4 linked regions of the Schizosaccharomyces pombe genome follow. The protein of the gene in region 1 binds, or shares a complex with, the protein of each later gene. Each region holds a gene or a part of one and is shown in the gene's direction. Other genes may lie near its edges. The genes, in order: ptr8, rad15, ssl1 and tfb1.

Region 1 (5,628 bases):
CCCATTCAGGTTTCAATTCAGGTTTTTTGTGAGGACCCAAGACTAAAAGCCAGCGACATTGAACAGATAAGGCATAACAAGTAGAGAATAGTTTAGATGGTTCTGTAAGTAAATGAAGAGCAAAAGAACATATTACAAGGTCATATATGCCATCTTCAGCGCTACTTGGAGGTAGTTTTTCATCAGCAATATCCTGAAAGTTTAGCGTTAAGCATGGCTTACCAATGCGATTTGTGTAGGCTTCTAAAGTAAATGGGTCCGTAGCTATAAGCTCAAAAGGAGGTAATTCTGGTGGAATAGAACGTATAGAAATTTCTTTACGGACTTTAAAAGCTCCTCCATGTATACCCAGTTCCCTCCCTAAATGCTCCCATTCTATAACTGTTTCTGAAACTTCCCCACTTCCACATGCCAAATCTATAACATGCAATCCGTGACTTTTAAACTTTTCATCATGATCCCAAAAATGACTTAAGCACTGCAATAGCAAAAGTCGTAATCCCCGAAAATGCAAATTTCGATAAGTCCCTCCTACCTTTTTGTAATAAACATCTACGCCTTGCGCATAGTTATCTCTCATTGAGTAAGGAGCATTTCTGACTGAATGAGTAGGACGCCAACTCATTTTTAATTATGGGGTAAAGAAATAATGTATTCCAGATGTCAAATCTCTCACAGTGTTAATAAAGTAATAAATTATTTTGAATTAATTAACTGCAAATTCTAAATTTGGTATTCGTTTTTCTTTTTTTTTGTTTTTTCACGCGACGATGCAAAAAGCAAAAAAAAAATTTAAATATAATTTATCAAGATACCCAATTTGACAAGAAAATGGTGAGTTAACCGAGTTTATTCAATATGCATCACGAATTCGCACAAACGACTTGTTCTCGATATTCCACCGTCCTTACTACTTTAAGTTTTATAAGTAAAGTCGTAGAAATAGAAATGATATAAAATAAAAGGAGATATGTCAATGAAATGAACGAAAGATGAGATTTCTTATGTAGTAGGTATACTGAACTTAGTACAAACCGGATAAATTCAACTAACATGAAAATTTGACTAAAACAAATCTCGATTCACGACAGCATAAGCATACAAATCACAAATAAATAATTTTTTATTTAGTTTGTGCATTGTATGTATCTTTCGTTAGTTTTTTGGTTTCAGTTATGATTTATTGATACATCTTAACAATAAGGTTATTGTAAACACGTTTGTTGACGAAATGATTGTTTAACAGTGAAAATTTCAAATGAGTTTCGTATCATAAAGTAGATGTTCATTCGAATTAAAGAATCAAGTTTACGAATCCATTGCGCATGCTAATGTTAGCACTGGTATACACCTAACCTTTGCCTATAAGACCTTTCTTACTTAATAATGTCGCTTCGTCGAATACCGAATAAAAATCTAATACCTGAAATACCTCCCTTCCCAGAGGAGTCAATTAATCTATTACAGAATGGCGTAAATACAATTGTATGTTTGGGATGCCAATTTATATACTAATCAAGCTATTTTAGCCTCGAATAAATCTTGAAGATGTAGATGTTATGTCAACCAAATTACCCACAGATGAAGAATTAACAGAAAATTATCAAAACTGGAAAAAAAATCTTGAAGTAGAGCGTCTTGAAAAGCTTAAACGAATTGCACCAGGGTACTCTGCCTCTTCACCCTTATTACCTAGCAAAAGTGATTAATCCCAAGATAAAATTTAGATTTATTATATTTTTCGATTAAAATGATAGTATTTTGGTGGTACTAACAATCGCTTCATCTTACTAGTGATTTGCCATTAACACACACACACCCACAGGAGAACCTCCTTTTCTTTTGTGCTTATAAATTTAAAAGTGACAGCTGAAAAGTTACGAAACTTAATAATCAGTTGAGAGTTGTTGCTTTAAATTTCTTTTGATTGGCCTCGCATCTTGGTTTGTCGTTTACTGCTGCAAATTATTATTGCCATACGGCAACTCATTTTCAAAGAGTTTGAGTCATTAGCTATTTATAAACATTTCATATTAAATAATGAGCCTAAAGAGAAAAAATAATGCAAGGGAAGGGACACCTGACGAGGATTTAGAAGAATATAGCGATTACAGCGATGTTGACAATTACGGTGAAGAGGATGATGATTCTTACAAGCCTGCACCCAGGATTCGTATAAACAACAATAAAACTAAAGCACAAACCACGACTAATAGCAATGAAGCCCGCCAATCTGGGATTTCTGCTATGTTTGGCCAAAACGATTTTTCTAATTTACTAGGTTTAAAATTGGATCATACGGCTAGGCCACTTTGGATTAATCCAATTGATGGTAGAATTATCCTTGAAGCATTCAGCCCATTGGCTGAGCAAGCTATCGACTTCTTGGTAACAATTTCAGAGCCAGTTTCTCGACCCGCTTTCATTCATGAGTATAGAATTACTGCATATTCACTTTATGCTGCTGTTAGCGTTGGGTTAAAAACTGAAGATATAATAGCAGTCCTTGATAGACTTTCAAAAACCCCAATTCCTCCTTCTATCGTAGACTTTATCCGCGCTTGTACTGTCTCTTACGGTAAGGTCAAACTGGTCTTGAAGAAAAACAGATATTTTATTGAAAGTGGAGATGCAAGTGTTTTACGACTGTTATTAAGAGATCCTGTCATAGGCCCTCTTCGAATCGATTATTCTACCCAGTCTAGCAAGCAGAAGTCTTCAAAGCCTTCCAATGAAGATAATGTGGAAGACAAAAAAGATATCACCAATGATTCCTCAAAAGAAACTGCTGAGAAAAGTTCATCTGATGAACTGTTTTCGGCAGTAGTAGGCTTACAGGAAGAGGAAGATGATGAAGATGCCGTTCATCTTTTCGAAATTAAGCACTCTTCAGTGGAAACTATCAAGAAGAGATGTGCAGAGATTGATTATCCCTTATTGGAAGAGTACGATTTTCGTAATGACAACATCAATCCAGATCTTCCTATAGACCTTAAGCCAAGCACTCAAATTCGTCCATACCAAGAAAAGAGTCTTAGTAAAATGTTTGGAAATGGTAGAGCTCGAAGTGGAATTATTGTATTACCATGTGGAGCTGGTAAAACCTTGGTTGGTATCACAGCGGCTTGTACTATCAAAAAATCAGTAATCGTGCTTTGCACCAGTTCTGTTTCGGTAATGCAATGGCGTCAACAATTTTTACAGTGGAGCAACATCAAGCCTGATCACATTGCGGTTTTTACTGCTGATCACAAAGAACGGTTTCACAGCGAAGCAGGTGTGGTTGTCTCCACGTACTCAATGGTTGCCAATACCAGGAATAGATCCTATGATTCTCAAAAAATGATGGATTTTCTTACGGGACGTGAATGGGGGTTTATCCTATTAGACGAAGTACATGTGGTTCCTGCTGCCATGTTTCGGCGAGTTGTCACCACAATTGCCGCTCACACAAAGCTTGGGTTAACTGCTACGTTAGTTCGTGAGGATGATAAAATTGATGATTTAAATTTTTTGATTGGGCCTAAAATGTACGAAGCAAATTGGATGGATTTGGCACAAAAAGGTCACATCGCTAAGGTTCAATGCGCCGAAGTTTGGTGCGCGATGACCACTGAGTTTTATAATGAATATCTTCGAGAAAACTCCCGAAAAAGAATGCTACTTTATATCATGAATCCTAAAAAATTTCAGGCTTGTCAATTCCTCATCGATTATCACGAAAAACGTGGTGATAAAATTATCGTTTTTTCAGACAATGTCTATGCTTTGCGTGCTTATGCAATAAAATTAGGCAAATATTTTATTTATGGTGGAACTCCACAGCAGGAAAGAATGAGGATTTTGGAAAATTTCCAGTATAATGAACTTGTAAATACCATTTTCCTTTCTAAAGTTGGTGATACGTCTATTGATCTTCCTGAAGCAACCTGTTTGATTCAGATTTCTTCTCATTATGGTTCTAGGCGTCAAGAAGCTCAACGTTTGGGGCGTATTCTTCGTGCCAAGCGACGAAATGATGAAGGCTTTAACGCATTTTTCTATAGCTTGGTATCTAAAGACACTCAGGAAATGTATTATTCCAGTAAACGGCAAGCATTTTTAATTGACCAAGGCTATGCTTTTAAAGTCATCACTAATTTAAAGGGTATGGAGAACTTGCCAAATTTGGCTTACGCCTCCAAAGCGGAGAGACTTGAGCTTTTGCAGGAAGTATTGCTACAAAATGAAGAAGCAGCTGATTTGGATGACGGTGAGGATACTAGCTTTGGATCCAGAAGTCTCTCTAGAGCACCGGCGAAAGCTAAACGTTCTAGTGGTTCTTTAAGTACATTGGCTGGTGCCGACAATATGGCATACGTGGAATATAACAAGAGTGCTAATAAACAGCTGAAAAAGGACAGTAAAGAACATCATGCCTTATTTCGGAAGCACCTGTATACTAAACGTCGCTAGCGAAGTTATACATGCTAGCATACACACGATATAGACATGAATTTTGTTGATTTTTCTACGCTAAAATTTTTGATAATAATGCTTTCGTTAAGTTTTAATATGAAATTATGATTTCCCTAATTCCCTTGTAAATTCTAATTTGTGATTGGCAATATTGCCAAATCATCATCATTTTCTTTATCTTCTTCATCGTTGCTTCCGCTGCTAAGCGATTGTCGTTCATTGTTAGACGACCACTCAGTTGACAGACGGCGAATTAAACCCTTCAAATCGCATCTCATCGTGTTAATCTTTTGAAGGTTCCACTGTTGGTCGAAGTTTTTAGCATCCGTCCGTCTAAGAGATTTATCTAAAGTATTGGCTATCACTTGCTCAGGAGTTTCAAGAAATAGTTCGACGAAATGTAACGCATATATACCACAATCAGAAAAATTGCTTTGTTGCGGGACTTTTGCATGAAACCCCCGTATATCAGTGGACTTAAGATGTACATTTTTCCTTTCGAAAGCTTCTTCCAGTAAATATTCACGTAAGTAATTTAATGCTCCTTTATGAAGATTTGCTAAAGAATCAAAAATCAAAATTGCTGGACTATAATTAACTTAGTAAACTGAATCAAATGATTTATGATATATTTTTCCTTTTAATCAATAAAATTGTAAACCTTTAACATACCTATTGCTCGTTAATTCTGCTTGTCTAGTCTTTGAAGCAGACGGTTGTTCCACAGACGACATAACTATTTCATCCTGCTCTTCCAGTTTTGTGTCCACAGGCATTAATCGATCAATGTTGCAGATAATAGCTAGATACCAATGAAATGTTTCATTGATAGGAACAATAATGTATTTTTTATGGAAAAGGTCAACTTTTTGAGTCCACTTTCGAACTCCTCTATGACCTAGCCGCTTGCTATATTACCCATTAGTGATCAAATAATTGATAGAAGTAAAGCCTGTTACATACCCATCTTTATCTTTTGAAGTAAGACGATTATAGAAAAATGTGTTAAAAATATGAGTGTCATTGGCCAAAGAAGGATTTTGTGTTTGTAATTTACAGTATAAATATCTAAATTTTTGAGGTTAAAAGAAGCGAAGATTCCAAAAAAAAAAAAAAAAAAAAAAAAAAAAAACTTACCTCAAATAAAAATCAACAATAGTATCGTTTAAA
Region 2 (6,409 bases), 1.1 Mb from region 1:
TGAATTTCTTATGTAACAAATGAATCTTCCATCTTTAAAGGGAAATCCGATCGCTGTGTTCTCAAGTTATCGACTCCTTTTTCTCATAGCAAAGGCTGAGCAAGCAATCAAAGCTTTTGCTCCTAGGATTATCTAGGACGATGCAACTTCAACATTCGTTGAACGGACCGCATACCCATTTCCTAGGTTCAGGATTTAAGCTTTGTATTGTGTTGTGTGGTAGTACAATTAAGCAAAAAGGAACCGAACCGTTGGGGCTGAATATTGTTTTTCACTATCAAACAGGTAATAAGATATATATGAAGCAAGCAACTTATTTGTAAGCCTAGCTAAATGCTTTATCAATATAAACTCGAGGGAAATATTGGTAGCATAGTATTCCTTTAACTTTTCTTTTTTTTTAAATTAATTTTGATTTCACTTTTTAGTTAACGAAAAGAATTATTTTTTATTTAATAATGGCAAGCGGAGTTGTTTCAATCCAATATATTACATTTACCAGTAAAAAAATTCGATACTTTCCCTCCACCGTGTTAAATTGCTGCATTTTTTTGCATGTTACGGGATGTAAGGAAATAATCTCAAACCAGTCATCCTTACTTTGGTTTCCTACATTTAATGAGCCATGCCATCTATCCTCTATTTCAATACCTTCCTTCCCATTTTTTTCTGCTAAATCGATATGTTGTTTTTTAAATACTCTTTGTTATTAGTACTATATATGCACTATTGATTTTGCTAGCAATGTATTGTATTATTTGTATGTTTTGTAGAAAATAACCTACTCGCCAACCCAAAAATACCAGTTGTTTCCGACAGCGTCATTTATTCATCACACTTTTCCGAAAATCGGCTTTACAAGTCCCGAGTAAAAGTGAATCAAGAAACAGCTACCATGAATTTGATCAACGATTTTGAGTAACCACAGAAAAACTCAGTATGGCCCATTACGGTTGGAATGGGTCGTTGTTATGAATGCCATTTTCTTGTTACCGAGCGGCAAACTCCAACAGTATATTGTTTTGTAGCATCGCTAATGAATGATTCGTTAAGTTTGTTTTCGTGGAATTTCATGCTCTTCTTTTATACCCGAAAGCCGGATACTCGTCGATATACTAGATGTGTAGTGAGTTAATTAATTAGCCAGAAATTAGTGAATGGGAGAGATTTTTAAAATATCAAGATTGATCATTACTAATCATCTTTCATCTTTCACAATACTTGTCATCGATGATTGATAGAGATTGCCAAGAGACATTAGGTAAAATAAAACGTAACAGTTTTGACGATCTGCTGATTTGCTTGATGTCAACCTTGGGTATGTTTTCATTAAACATGATTGCTGATGGGTTTCATAATTCGTGAAAAATTGATAAAGCACTTTTCCTTATCATCTACACATAAGTGAACAGGCAAATCAATCCGTATTGTCTCCTCAACATACGGAATGTCATTAAAACCGGTAAACTGTACTAACCGGTGATTACGGGATAATAAAAAACCACTTCATTCATTTCAAAAACTGTTGATATAGTATTCTGTATGATTTCAAGAAGATAACTCTTCGGTGACTTGCTGTTTATTGCTCACCTGGCGATTCTAATTCCTTTTATTTTTTATCCTGATACGTATGTATTTGTTTTTCCCTCTTTAGAATAATATTCATTAAGCTTGAATAAGCGGTTATTAGTTTGCAAATGATTCAGCAGCTATATGTGAGTTTGCCCTTTTTCACTTGTCTACAGAGTCGGGAATTGACTTGTAAAACAAAATAAATGGAATATTGCAAATGTATTCTTTTTGCCTTGTGTTTATTTAGGAGTAGTATTGCGGAAACTTGTTTTCAGAAAACAAAGTAGCGCTTATGCTCGGTAACTACGAAAATACGAATTTTTTTTCCAATAAACTAGTATTTATTAAGCAATTGCATCTTCCATTAACCATGTCATTTCCATCAATGTATAGTTGTATGTACACCATGTATTTACGAATATTATCCAATTTAACGTACTTTACAGTATTTTGCTTATAAATGTTTACCGTACCAACTCAGCGTTCTTCATAATCCAGTTCTATATGCACTACAAATATAAAGCAGCCACTGTTAATTTCAGGACTCATTCTTTAAGCTTGGATCGACAAGTAGTTTCTCCTGAGATTCTCACTGTAAAGTAGCTCACTTAAACCTTAGGTCAGAATTATTTCTTGGTTCGTTTTGTTTTACCCTCTTCCATCCCATGTTTATTTATTTATCTTTGTGAACTTATTCATATTTGTGTATCAGTGATTGACGACTAAATATTGAACCAAAGCAGAACCTACCTCATTCTTATAATACCCATAAAAATTTATTTCTCGCTTTATTCATTTCATTTTTATGAAGCGATTGTTAAGCGATCTTTACCCACTATTATTCATCAATGCTAGTTCATAATTCTTTTGTTTCAACTTTTTATCTTATTATTTAATTCCTAAATTTTTTTTTGGTCCAATAGGCTGTCATATACTCAAATTAATTTCCTCAAAGTCAACGGATTACACCCATAATGAAGTTCTATATTGACGATCTACCTATTCTGTTTCCTTATCCACGCATCTATCCCGAGCAGTATCAGTATATGTGTGATTTGAAACATTCTTTGGATGCGGGAGGCATTGCGCTCTTAGAAATGCCTTCGGGTACTGGAAAGACCATTTCTCTTTTGTCCCTTATTGTTTCATATCAACAACATTATCCTGAGCATCGCAAGCTCATCTATTGTTCACGTACCATGTCGGAAATTGATAAAGCATTAGCTGAATTGAAGCGTTTAATGGCGTATCGGACTTCACAGTTAGGATATGAAGAACCATTTTTGGGTCTCGGACTAACCAGTCGCAAAAATTTATGTTTACACCCTTCTGTTCGTCGTGAAAAAAATGGGAATGTGGTAGATGCCCGTTGTCGCTCACTTACGGCGGGTTTTGTGCGGGAGCAAAGATTGGCTGGTATGGATGTTCCTACTTGTGAGTTCCACGACAATTTGGAAGATCTTGAGCCACACAGCCTTATATCTAACGGTGTTTGGACCCTTGATGATATCACAGAATACGGCGAAAAAACTACACGATGCCCCTATTTTACTGTACGTCGTATGCTACCGTTTTGTAATGTTATTATTTATTCGTATCATTATTTACTAGACCCCAAAATTGCTGAACGAGTTTCTCGAGAACTCAGTAAAGATTGCATTGTTGTTTTTGATGAAGCACACAATATTGACAATGTGTGTATTGAGTCTTTAAGTATTGATTTGACAGAATCTTCTTTGAGAAAAGCTTCGAAGAGCATTTTGTCTCTTGAGCAAAAAGTCAACGAAGTAAAACAGTCTGACTCAAAAAAACTTCAGGATGAATACCAAAAGCTTGTTCGGGGCCTTCAAGATGCTAATGCCGCAAATGACGAAGACCAGTTTATGGCGAATCCCGTTTTGCCTGAGGATGTTTTAAAGGAAGCTGTTCCTGGAAATATTCGACGAGCCGAACATTTTATTGCATTTTTGAAGCGTTTTGTAGAATATTTAAAAACAAGGATGAAAGTTTTGCACGTTATTGCTGAAACACCAACTTCTTTTTTGCAACATGTTAAAGACATTACATTTATAGACAAAAAGCCGCTTCGGTTTTGCGCTGAGCGACTCACTAGTCTTGTTCGTGCCTTACAAATTTCACTAGTTGAAGATTTTCATTCTTTGCAGCAAGTAGTAGCTTTTGCGACCCTTGTTGCTACTTATGAGCGTGGATTTATCCTAATTTTGGAACCCTTTGAAACAGAAAATGCTACAGTTCCCAATCCAATATTGCGGTTTTCCTGTCTTGACGCCTCAATAGCTATTAAACCAGTTTTCGAAAGATTTAGGTCTGTGATTATCACGAGTGGTACTTTATCCCCCCTCGATATGTACCCCAAGATGTTGCAGTTTAATACTGTTATGCAGGAATCGTATGGAATGTCACTTGCACGAAACTGTTTCCTTCCTATGGTAGTTACTCGGGGTAGCGATCAAGTAGCTATTTCTTCAAAATTTGAAGCCCGTAATGATCCTAGTGTTGTTCGCAATTACGGTAATATACTGGTTGAGTTTTCGAAAATTACACCTGATGGCTTAGTCGCATTTTTTCCAAGTTATCTCTACCTTGAAAGTATTGTTTCTAGTTGGCAAAGTATGGGTATTCTAGATGAAGTCTGGAAGTATAAGTTGATTTTGGTGGAAACACCAGATCCTCATGAAACAACTCTCGCCTTAGAGACTTACCGGGCTGCTTGCAGCAATGGCCGTGGAGCAGTATTGCTGTCAGTCGCTAGAGGAAAAGTCTCAGAAGGAGTGGATTTTGATCATCATTATGGTAGAGCAGTAATCATGTTTGGTATTCCGTATCAGTATACTGAGAGTCGTGTTTTAAAAGCACGGTTAGAATTTCTGAGGGATACGTATCAAATTCGGGAAGCAGATTTCTTAACATTTGATGCCATGCGGCATGCTGCCCAATGTTTAGGTCGCGTTTTGCGTGGAAAAGATGATCATGGAATTATGGTGTTAGCAGATAAACGATATGGTCGGTCTGATAAGCGTACAAAATTACCTAAATGGATTCAACAGTATATAACCGAAGGCGCTACAAATTTAAGCACTGATATGTCCCTCGCTTTGGCGAAAAAATTTTTACGAACTATGGCACAGCCTTTCACTGCGTCTGATCAGGAAGGGATTTCTTGGTGGAGTCTTGATGATTTGTTGATTCATCAGAAGAAAGCATTGAAGTCTGCGGCTATAGAACAATCCAAACATGAGGATGAGATGGATATTGATGTGGTTGAAACTTAATAGAAGCCATTTGTAAAATACTTTGATTCTAATCATCTTTACTAAGGCAATCCAAAACTCATGAACACAGCGATGAAGATATTTGGAAGCGAATGGCTAACTTTTTTGTAGGTGTGGACAATGTATGTATCAACTTGTATTCGAGAGTTGTATAGTGGACATTTCAATCGTCATCACGATACGCATGCTACTTACGAATTGTTTTAAGATCGCAGAGCAGAGAAAAAATATTATTTACACTCAGTTGGCAATTAATTTGCGAGTCGCTAAATTCGAAGTACTTTAAAATTTTTTTAGAGACTGTGTTCAAATAAAATCGGTTTCAGTTGTTGTAATGCTTCTTAAATTTTCCATCCCATCAATAACAATCCAGCGTTTCAAAGAGTGATTATTGGCAATTTCATGCTGCTATGGAAATTAAGCTTACATTAAGCGAGCTAGTTAAAATACGTGATGCAGTAATTGTAAGCCTAGTTATATAAACAAAACATCTGTTTATCATTTAGATACATAAAACAAAAGTTTACATATTCATAATATATTCTCATAATCTAAAAAATTTCCTTGATAGTTTTATGTCGATAAAATTAGTCTCCCATACTTAGTTCTAAATAAATGAACGTTTTGGGGTTGTACAACTGATTCATTGCTGTATTCTATGTAATATATAAATTTCTTGAAAATAAAAAATCTTTTGGTTTTACGGATTCACGGTTGGCTTATACGTAATTGCCAAGCACATATAAGATCAATGATGGTTTCTTTACCAAACTACTGTATAAAAAAATTACTCTAGCACAAAAAGGATACCGCTTTCAGGAATTCTTAAATATAGAAAAAAAAATAAGTGTAGCTTATTGCAAGGGTTGTCTCTAGTCACGTTGGGGTAGTCAGAATCCTGTCATAACTACTGCTTTGTATCTTTGATTAGCAAAGTAACTTATTGAATACAGTCAGCTGTCAAATTACAGAAAAAGAAGCAACTTTAATAGTATCTTAAATGATATAATCTTCGATACAGGTTTCTTTGAGAATTTGGCCAATAGCTAGAAATGTTTAAACGACGTCGAAATCCAAAAGGTCTTGTGTTGAATCCTAACGCCTCTGTTAAAAGCTCTGATAATGATCATAAGGAAGAGTTAATTAACAATCAAAAAAGCTTTGAATCCAATGTCGAAGCATTTATGGAGCAATGTGCGCATATGAATCGACGCCCAGCTTGGATATCTGATTTGGACAATAGCAGTTTGGAAGTAGTGAGGCATTTGGGAGAGGGAAATGGTGGGGCTGTTTCATTGGTAAAGCATAGAAATATTTTTATGGCTAGGAAAACAGTTTATGTTGGGTCAGACTCTAAACTTCAGAAGCAGATTTTGCGAGAGTTAGGTGTTCTACACCACTGTCGTTCACCCTACATAGTCGGTTTTTATGGAGCTTTTCAGTATAAAAACAACATTTCATTATGTATGGAATACATGGATTGCGGATCGCTTGATGCAATTCTTCGGGAGGGAGGTCCTATTCCGTTAGATATTCTAGGAAAA
Region 3 (4,596 bases), on another chromosome or scaffold:
GTTGAAACTCAAACGTATATAATCACTATTGGTAAAAGGCTCTTCAAAATGCCAGACGAAAAGTTACCTCAATACAATGAAGTTTGGAATGATTTGGAGAAGGGTTGTTTACATTCTTGTCCTTCATATTCAGTCAATAATCATGTAAACAATCCAATTGTCAAACAAAACTCAACATTAACACAACCATCGTTACGAAAAAAAAATACAATGGCTGCACCTGCTAGATTAAGAAAGCGTTCGGAAAATGTGCGACTTACACAAGCTAGATATGCGATATTTCATATCTTCCTTCCTTTCATTCTTACTTTATTGCTTTATCATAATTTTTATAATTATTTCGATCAGGCATTGGCGGATCTTAATTCTGTGGTTAAATATGTTATTGAAACTATAGTGTTAATATTTACATACGTGATGACAGTGATTATTGTTTATTGTAAGTTTTTGAGATGATTTGAATTCATGACTAACGATTTTCTAGTTTCATTTTCGTTAATTAAATTAGCGTTTGAAGAAGCTTATGTTTATGCACCGTCTGTAGCTAAAGCGAATGAAGGTCTAGCTAAAGCGATTGCAGGCCTAGCTAAATATGTAGCTAAAGCAATTCAAGGTTTGGCTCATATTATTTTATCCTTACTGTTGTTTATTCTCGGGCTCGAAGTAATAGAACAAGATGAAGAGACTGGCGACGTTGAAATGTCGTCTATGCGAGGCCAAGCAATTACCACAGAGCCAGCAAGTGACAATACAATGGCTGAGGAAACCGATTGCAACACTTCTAAAGATGTAGAATCGGGCAGCAACTAAAAGTCATGGCTAGAGAAAAAAATCAAGGGGCTGCCAACAGTTGCGAGGGTTTTTTTTATTTCATCACTAATTTTCTTACTTTCTTGCAAAAGTCACTTTTCTCCTTTATTTCTATTCCTTGTATTATTATCTTATATGCATCATCACTTAATCATTTTCGATGACAGTCATCACTATTTTTGTCTCTGTTATAGAGCAAACACGATGTGTATTTGTGGTGCTAGGAAAATTCATTTAACTAATGAATCTGTTGTCAATTATAGATTAATCATCCTCTTTATTGTTTTACCAAATTGATATACAATCCTTAATTGTGACTTTGTAAGATTTGCGACTTAAAAAATTGTTCAATTAAGACATTACTCAAAAGATGCAAAGTAGTGATTTAACCTTTTTTTTTGTTGGATATATACGAAATAAGGATTCCATTCATCATTCTCAAGTTTTGGAGTTTTAAAAACCAGTATATACAGCAAATATAAGTTGAAATTTGTTTCTAAGACAAATAAAAACGAAAAAATCGACCTTGGAGTAGAACGAGAACTTCTTAAACAATGCGATTTCGCAATTCCTAGTCAGTAGCCAATTTCTGTTCGAGAAAATCAATTAAATGAACTCTTTCGTCCTGCAAACCATCCAACATTCAGCCTAAGCGAAAAGTAATTATTCTTCTTATGTCCATATCACTTGTAGCTTTACATAAAATATTGGCAATTACGCAGTTTGCAAATTTCTAAGTCTCTACTATATTGCAATATGCAGTTTGTACAAATAACCGAGCCATAAATAATTTTATAAAATACGATATATAACTCATCCTTAAAGAATGAGGAGTACAGATTTATTTTATATTCTTCTTTTACTTTCATAATTTCCTAAGTTTTTTCAAATAACAGAAATAGTTGTATACAAATTTCATATCACAAATCAAAGACTGATAAACACGAATTAACGCAGCATAACGAAATTCATTATTATATTTAACAAATAATGGTTGCGCTCCTTGTCCGTATTGTCTTCGTGTAAATGGTCTCTTGTTCTAGTACTTACTTAGTCTTACCATTTTACTGGTATGCCCAGGAGTCATTGCTTTTTAAAAAAATAAAACTAAAAATAATAAAAGAAAGAACTTTCGCTCATTGCATGTAAAGCAACTCGACGCGACTATTCAAATTACCAAAAGTTCACTGGGTAAAACGTGACTTGAAGAAATACATTCGCTTTGAGTTCTTTAGTCTGTAGAAACCAAGGAATAGAATTTGTGCAATATTCATTTATCTAATTATCAAATAGCGTTCTGGCATAATACCTATGCTCGGTTAAAATAACACTCAATGAATGAGAACCAAAAAAGTTTTGACTCTGACAAGTCGGAAAGCGAGGATGAACAAAAAAATGGAAGAGTTAAAGTAAGAAGCAGGAAAACTGACGATAATGAGGGTTATACTTGGGAAGGTGAATATCAGCGTTCTTGGGATATCGTACAGGAGGACGCAGAGGGTAGTTTAGTAGGCGTTATCGCTGGGCTTATTCAAAGCGGGAAACGTAAAAGGTATGGCGTATCAAAATTGGTTTTCTTATGTTCTTCATTTGTTTGTTAGTTGCCTATGTTGGGCATTTGGAAACATATTAGTCTTTTATAGCATCGATGAACGGTATACTAACTTGTCAATCTGATTTAGACTTCTTAGAGATACAACTCCGTTACAACGAGGTATTATTAGACACATGGTCTTGGTGTTAGATTTGAGCAACTCTATGGAGGAGCGTGATTTTCATCATAAGCGGTTCGACCTTCAGATAAAGTATGCTTCTGAATTTGTTCTTGAGTTTTTTGAACAAAATCCTATTTCCCAATTATCGATTATAGGCGTAATGGATGGAATCGCTCATCGGATAACTGATTTGCATGGGAATCCTCAATCGCATATTCAGAAGCTTAAATCTCTTCGAGATTGTAGTGGAAACTTCTCTCTTCAAAATGCTCTCGAAATGGCTAGAGCTTCTTTATCACACATTGCTTCCCATGGCACTAGAGAAGTCCTTATCATTTTTGGTTCCATCTTATCATCAGACCCTGGCGACATTTTCAAGACGATTGATGCTCTGGTTCATGATTCTATTCGTGTCCGTATCGTTGGTTTGGCTGCTGAAGTCGCCATTTGTAAAGAAATTTGTAATAAAACTAACTCATCTACGAAAAATGCCTACGGCGTAGTCATCAGTGAACAACATTTTCGCGAACTTCTACTCGAAAGCACAATACCTCCTGCTACTGATTCGGCTAAAACCACTGATGCTTCTTTGGTAATGATGGGATTTCCTTCTAAGGTCGTTGAGCAATTGCCAAGTCTTTGTGCTTGCCATTCAATTCCGTCTCGTGGTGGGTTTCATTGTCCTCGTTGTAAAGCAAAAGTTTGTACTTTACCGATCGAATGCCCTAGTTGTTCTCTCGTTCTAATCCTTTCAACACATCTTGCTCGATCTTATCATCATTTGTTTCCATTGAAAAACTGGAGCGAAATTCCTTGGTCCGCAAATCCAAAGTCCACTCATTGCTTTGCGTGTCAGTTACCTTTTCCGAAGCCGCCGGTTTCACCGTTTGACGAATCTACTTCATCGATGCGGTATGCATGTCCCTCGTGTAAAAATCATTTTTGTTTGGATTGCGATGTTTTTGCGCATGAACAACTTCATGAGTGTTATGGATGCCAATGCTCCGGAAATTAAAGTTTCTTTTGGTATATTAATGAACGCATTTATTTATAATAATTATTTTAAAATACTATTATGCTACTTATTCACAAATATGTAAAGAGATATATATTTCAATTTACTTATTTAAAGAGATCGTTGCTTAACTACCTTATCCGGAAGATAGTGAAAATTTGATCTATTGATGCTTCAGTAAGTGTTAGAGCTGTATCATATATAAAATAAAAACTAATTAAAATGTGGAAATGAATATATCCCTATATTTACAGATCAGAGGTCAGTATTGCAGTTGTAGTTGATTACAGAGGAAACCTGTTTTTGAGAATTCCATTTCTCGACTAAATAAGCAACCTTCTGACCGTACTTGCTTCCCCGAAGAGAAACCATGTGCTTTTTTATATGCGTAATGACAAGGTTTTTCTCAGCTGGTTGACCAAGTTGAATTATTTGCTGAATTAAATAGTTGCCATACTGATCAGATGCAATATCGATTAAAGGCTGCCTTGTTCGGTCAACTCTCGCGTTTGTAATTTGTTTTAGATATAAGGAAATGAAATTTTTTGGGCCAGACTTAATTGCTTTTTCAATGACCTTAGAGGCAAATTGGTCAATACTAAATTCCACTGCACGATTCAATAATGCATCAATGACTCTTTTCAAATCCTCTCCTTGTCCGTTTTCTACCATGTGTTGCACCACCCAGTTTCCCCATTGACCACGTGCAATACCGTCTAAATGAAAAATGATTTCCTCAATGCATTCACGCTTATCTTTCTCTACACAGTTCTCAAACATATTTTGGACTACGAGACTTCCATTTTCCCCGACTGCAACTTCGTGCCATTTTCCTCTCAAGGCATTGTTTACGCGATTCATGACATTAACTGGATACTCGTACCATTGCGTTTCAAACAATTTTTGCCAGACATGGCATGCATAGTGGTGCATTATTGTAACATCAATAGTGAGGAATAACTCGTCCATCATAGCCAGTTTAATATCTTCTGTCACATTATCTATTGCCTTTTGAACAACGTGGCATCCGAAAGGATCTGTTGCCAATTTTAACAT
Region 4 (5,401 bases), 1.8 Mb from region 1:
GAGGTGCCAAGCAAGCGTATGAAAACATGAATGTGCTTAATTAAGCTGACGGATTGGCCATTGACTAAAATGCAAGCAACCTTTTGAAATGAACATACTTTAAAATGACTTGAATTTTTTACTTTATTATAAAAACTGATCACTGACCCATGAGGATCCCGTATTTCTTCGGGACGATATTTTCCTAGTTTAACGCATTTCATGAACGACCACTACCAACTAGGTACAATAGTTCATACTCAAGTAAAAGAAGCTAGGTGTGTTTTGGAGAACAGCTATATAAAATAAAGTTTTGAAAAAGCTTTGAAGCAAGCCTTATAAGTGGAAAACCGAGATTCTTTGGTTCGATTGCACTTATATTACAGACGTAAACAAAAGGAAGCAAAAAGCAATGCTAACCTTGGGCAAGTAATAAAAGTCAAACTAGAAAGAATCCTCATGAATAGCTGTATATAATCGACAAGTCGTCAGCCATGGCAAAACCAAAAAAGGAAAATGACTTGGATCTTCTTATACAACTTGCTGACGGTAATAAATGAACATGTGTAAATAAATAATTTTCTTACATTATTTAGCATTGGAAGCTATACCGGGTGATTTATCCAAAAATTTTACGGAAGTCCGTTTTTTAGAGGCTGAACTAAAGGGTAAGTGATAGTGGCATTATAGATTGGGATTTTTTGCTTGAACAACTGTGAAGGTTTTGATAATAAACAAAAAAATGAAAGATTACTAGTGAAACCGTTCTGGTGTTGATTTTCTTTGTTAATGTTTAATCAATCTGCTTAGGACTTGTTTGAACCTTGAATATGTTATTCAAAAGGACTTGAACGCTACTGAGGCTTATAATAAGTTTATGTTGTTCTTATCAAAACTTGCCTATCTAGAGCTTGCCTTTTTCTGATTTAAAATGATTAACATGTTCAGATGTGTATTCACAAGCTCTTTCTTCAATTGATGACCTTCTTAACAGAGATACTAGTGTTGAACGTCGTAATTTAGTCGCTCGAAACTTATCATTACTGTTAAAATCCGATGATGTACAAACTCGAAAAAAATCCCACATTGCAATGTATGCAGAGGCAATTACTCATAGTAATGTTTTACGTTTAGAACACTGTTATCAAAAGATGGAAATGAAATTACCAAATTTTTTTATTCCTTTCACTCCAGAGGTTATAAAAGAGCAAAAAACTTCGAGACCTATTAGAGCATCCCGGCGGAGAGCCAATTTAAGGAATCGCCGTGCTAAAGAATTGCTAGCAGCTGAAAACGCATCGGAGGAAGGAGATAAAAAGCAAATAATCACGGATTCTGGTAAACTACCAGAGACAGAGGAATTAACCGAGACCACAAATGAAGACCTCGACATCAAACAATTCTCTCCCTATTCTTCAGAGAGCAGTGCAAACGTTTCTTCTTACAATAAATCTTGAAACTTACGTAAAGCCTTATATTATTAAAATTCTTGCTTTTTTGTTTTTCTAATTGAAATACACTAATAATAGTTTATCCGGGATTAGCTACTAAATTCTAGTCATTCAACAGAAGTCACTTTGAAAACATATATAAACTCATGTCTTTCCATACTGATTCGAATGGAGGTAACTTCTTTCATACTTAATGCTACGTTTAAAGAGTTTGCATGTTTTGGAAACAATTACTTGATAATACTACCAGGAATTATGTTAGAAAGGAACGTATTTAGACATTTGAATTACTCTACAAATTCTATTTGTAGCCACTATCAGTTTTTTGGCGGACATTACGAATCTTTTGAACTTTTAGTAGTGATAGTTTATTACTTTTCACATGTTGGTTCTTTCTCTTTGGCTGAGATATATCGTATTACCTGGGATAAACGCATTGTACTTTATGGAACAACAACCACTCTTGTCTACTGCTCTGAAGGGTCGGATTGATTGCGTATATGATTAATTCATATTGTATTTTTTTAAAAATAAAACAGGGCTATAGTTTTAGATAACTGTCTCTTATAGGTTACCTATGTTCATAGCTCAACTTAATGAGGATATATTTACCCAAAATCTAAGTGTATATGATTTGGGACATCAAGAAACCATTCAAAACTTTTATTTTTCTAATGATTTTCGTAGTTTCCAATGTTCATCCTGTGTCTAACAAATCTTGATAATTTCGTAAAAGACTAGCGGTGTATTCCACAACTACCAAAATATCTGATGGGAGACAGGGTAGAAGCATTAGCCATATTCAGAAAAAAACAAGGTAAAATAACAATTAAATCAATGATTCTAACATGCAGGCGTATTATCTATCGATAGTAGATTAAAATGGACGGGGGAAGGGAAAACAACACCATCAGTAGATATTGCTTTTGATGCAATTTCGAGTAATAATAATTGTTGCATTTTCGAGATTACTGACAGATTGATAGATCTTCAAACTACTCCAGCGTCTAATCCAAAAGTTATGATTCGTGTTTTTATAGTAGTAAAGGAAGGTGAAGATCCCACTTCTTTAGTATTTCATTTCACCGGTACTCCTAATGCCAGAGAAAATTGTGATATGATTACTAATGAGTTGAGAAATGCGATACAAAGACAAAGGGAAGGCTCTCAATCTAAACCACAAGGAGCCAATGTCGATCGTGTAAATTCTACGAATCTAGAAAAGGACATCGACTTACAAGAGTCTTTGCTTACTAACAATCCCGATCTCTTACAAACATTTAAGGAAGCAGTTATGAAGGGACATTTAAGTAATGAGCAATTTTGGAGCACAAGGCTTCATTTGCTCCGCGCTCATGCTGTAGAAAGGTCTCAGCAGCGTGGTCCTTATAATGTCTTGTCTACTATTAAACCTAAAACAGTGGACAACCAAATGAAAGTTTCCCTTACCGGCCAGCAAATTCACGATATGTTTGAACAACATCCATTGCTCCGAAAGGTATATGACAAGCATGTGCCTCCTCTAGCAGAAGGAGAGTTTTGGAGTAGATTTTTCCTTTCCAAGCTTTGTAAAAAGCTTCGTGGCGACAGAATTACACCAATGGATCCCTCTGATGATATAATGGATAAGTATTTAAAAGATAATGAAGGTAATTTCTCCAACCTAGATGAATTCCATTTCTAACATTTTCAAGAGGTAACCAAAGTATCGGATGAACCTATTGCATCGCACCTCTTTGATTTAGAAGGAAATGATCAAAATGCAAATGTAATAGCAGAACTTAGACCTGATATCACTATGCGAATTGACAAAGAAGCTCTACCGTTTATGAAAAACATCAATCAGCTTTCGGAAAGACTTTTGGAAAAAAGTTTGGGGTATGTATATTCGGTTTTATTAATTGTTATTGCTTCGGTATGCCTAACAACTTGTAGAAACTCTAAACGATTTAACAACGAAAATGAAGAAACATACTTAAAAGAATCTGGTTTTCACGATTTAGAAGAAGAAGCCAGTGACTCTAAAGTTGTCTTAAAAATCAAAGGTCAAGATCAGTTATTGGAAAATAATTTTGTCCCCTCAAAAAATCAAGTTGGTTTAGAGCCTTTGCCTTCATTGGAAGCTCTTCAACATTTATACCAGGAAGATTCGATAAGCTTAAATCACATTGAACATGATTCTGACTCTTTGGCTGAAGCCGCTATGCAGCTTACTCAGAGTATGCGCGAAAAGCATGAGTTTGAGACCCACGGCACTGCATCAAATTTACCTATTGACATAAAAAATGAAATTGTTTTGTGCCATACCGTTACGATAGAATTTTTGCATCAATTTTGGAATGCCTTGTTGAATACAACTTTCCCGGACAAGAAGGCGATGGCCCCCCTTCAGAATGCTCTGTTAAATTCGAAAAAAAGGGTGGAGGCAATTGCGAGCCAGGCTCAGGAACAAAACGTTGATCCAAAACTGGTTTATGAGGTAAGTTTTTTTTGTAGAGATTTTGATTATTAACTAGGATTAGTTGGTATCCTGTACGCTCACTTCTATTGATACGTCAATCTCGGAGTATCAAAGACGAATGTCTTATCCTCCTGCTTAGGTTTGATAATGTCTTTGGAAACTCAATTGTGCTTGTAAAAGGTAATTGTTTCTGTTTTTCCATATAGAGGTTAATGATATATTGATATATTCTTTATTGGACTTAATGTTCTTTCTTCATAAAGGCTGGAAAAAATGAACATTGAAATGCTGGATATGGCTCTTTTTCTGTTTATACAACTCTTGAATTAAAAAACTTTTGTTTTGGTTTATAGATTCAAAAGACAATCAAAACTGTTTTTAGATTACTGTGCTCATAGGCCAAAATCTAATGTTTTTATGTCTTTATAGATTTTATTATTTATTAAAATTCGTTTTATGACACGAATATAGTATGTTATAAACTGATGTTCAATTAATTAATGTCCCATAATTTCTCTCTTTTGTTTTAAATGCTTGTTTTTACAATTTTTCAATTTATCGCTTCTCTGTATATTATATATAACTTTTTTTTTTACTTTCTTTCAAGGTATCAGTTCTGTATGATCCCAATAAAACTGTGTCTAGCTCAAGTATTAAATTTGGATACACAATTAATGATGAATATTTTAACATCGATTACCTAATTTATCTTATTTCAAGTTAATAAATAAATAGCCAAACGACTTTGAAATGTAGCACGCTAGCGCCTAGTTCCCTTCCCTTTTCTTTCATTTATCCATAGTGTATATGTACTAAGCTTAAACATCTACGCACACCTTAGCTTTCCTACATGCTTTGATTAATAAGAGTAATTGTTTTAAAAATTTCATTCAAGAAGAAAGAACAAACAATAAAGGGCCATGCTACGACTCATAAAGCAACCTTTGTTTCGATGTGCGAGTTCGGGACATTTGATGAAAGAGTCGCTTGTTTTTATCCATCAGACTCGTACTTTTCAAGTTGGAAAATTTACCTCAAATGAAAAATATAATGAAAAAATTGAAGATATCAATGAACGTTCAAATCCACAATGGGATAATGCGGGACTCGAAAATTTACTGAATCAACTTCAAGATTCTGTCGAACAGTCTGCCTCCGACGATTTTATGGGTGAATTAGAGAAAAAAATTGAAGTTGAAAATGAAGAACCGCCGCTAATGGGTACAAATCTGTGGCCTTCTCCGTCAAGTTCAATTGTAGGGTTAATAGATCGACCATTTCAGGTCGACTCTACAGTACAGCATTTGGTGAATTTAATAATGCGAGATGGGAAAAAAGCTAAAGCTGAAAAGATTGTTGCAACAGCGCTCTCTATCATACAAAAAGAAACCGGTGAAAATCCTATAGATGTTTTGAAACAAGCAATCGCTGAGATTTCTCCCTTAATGAAGTTGGTACGTCGAAATTATTGAAAATTTTGGAATTTTTTGTGAATTATTTCTTTTTATAG

Evidence for each region.
Region 2: ptr8 (region 1) and rad15 share a complex: the UniProt entries of both Schizosaccharomyces pombe proteins name them as parts of the 7-subunit TFIIH core complex.
Region 3: ptr8 (region 1) and ssl1 share a complex: the UniProt entries of both Schizosaccharomyces pombe proteins name them as parts of the 7-subunit TFIIH core complex.
Region 4: ptr8 (region 1) and tfb1 share a complex: the UniProt entries of both Schizosaccharomyces pombe proteins name them as parts of the 7-subunit TFIIH core complex.

The regions. Positions count from the first base shown.
Region 1 is NC_003424.3:1,759,747-1,765,374, forward strand, and holds ptr8 (transcription factor TFIIH complex ERCC-3 subunit Ptr8), read left to right. Parts: upstream 1-1,800; 5' UTR 1,801-2,040; coding exon 2,041-4,455; 3' UTR 4,456-4,573; downstream 4,574-5,628. Other genes in the region: SPOM_SPAC17A5.05C (uncharacterized protein), read right to left, coding at 1-625; SPOM_SPAC17A5.19 (uncharacterized protein), read left to right, coding at 1,387-1,485, 1,530-1,709; SUMO deconjugating cysteine peptidase Ulp2, read right to left, coding at 4,590-5,046, 5,131-5,367, 5,422-5,526, 5,596-5,628. UniProt on the Schizosaccharomyces pombe protein: Probable ATP-dependent 3'-5' DNA helicase/translocase. Binds dsDNA rather than ssDNA, unzipping it in a translocase rather than classical helicase activity. Component of the general transcription and DNA repair factor IIH (TFIIH) core complex.
Region 2 is NC_003424.3:662,236-668,644, forward strand, and holds rad15 (transcription factor TFIIH complex subunit Rad15 ), read left to right. Parts: upstream 1-2,112; 5' UTR 2,113-2,546; coding exon 2,547-4,865; 3' UTR 4,866-5,412; downstream 5,413-6,409. Other genes in the region: MAP kinase kinase Byr1, read left to right, coding at 5,918-6,409. UniProt on the Schizosaccharomyces pombe protein: ATP-dependent 5'-3' DNA helicase, component of the general transcription and DNA repair factor IIH (TFIIH) core complex, which is involved in general and transcription-coupled nucleotide excision repair (NER) of damaged DNA and, when complexed to TFIIK, in RNA transcription by RNA polymerase II.
Region 3 is NC_003421.2:382,329-386,924, forward strand, and holds ssl1 (transcription factor TFIIH complex subunit Ssl1), read left to right. Parts: upstream 1-1,862; 5' UTR 1,863-2,144; coding exon 2,145-2,362; exon of another isoform or gene 2,363-2,492; coding exon 2,493-3,540; 3' UTR 3,541-3,719; downstream 3,720-4,596. Other genes in the region: SPOM_SPCC1682.06 (uncharacterized protein), read left to right, coding at 49-439, 485-810; meiotic pumilio family RNA-binding protein Mpf2, read right to left, coding at 3,796-4,596. UniProt on the Schizosaccharomyces pombe protein: Component of the general transcription and DNA repair factor IIH (TFIIH) core complex, which is involved in general and transcription-coupled nucleotide excision repair (NER) of damaged DNA and, when complexed to TFIIK, in RNA transcription by RNA polymerase II.
Region 4 is NC_003424.3:3,519,171-3,524,571, reverse strand, and holds tfb1 (transcription factor TFIIH complex subunit Tfb1), read left to right. Parts: upstream 1-2,182; 5' UTR 2,183-2,201; coding exon 2,202-2,247; exon of another isoform or gene 2,248-2,284; coding exon 2,285-2,371; exon of another isoform or gene 2,372-2,416; coding exon 2,417-3,079; exon of another isoform or gene 3,080-3,124; coding exon 3,125-3,308; exon of another isoform or gene 3,309-3,365; coding exon 3,366-3,909; intron 3,910-3,952; coding exon 3,953-4,030; 3' UTR 4,031-4,399; downstream 4,400-5,401. Other genes in the region: protein Png3, read left to right, coding at 474-528, 576-647, 928-1,436; SPOM_SPAC16E8.18 (uncharacterized protein), read left to right, coding at 1,599-1,922; rsm7 (mitochondrial 37S ribosomal protein uS7m), read left to right, coding at 4,812-5,345. UniProt on the Schizosaccharomyces pombe protein: Component of the general transcription and DNA repair factor IIH (TFIIH) core complex, which is involved in general and transcription-coupled nucleotide excision repair (NER) of damaged DNA and, when complexed to TFIIK, in RNA transcription by RNA polymerase II.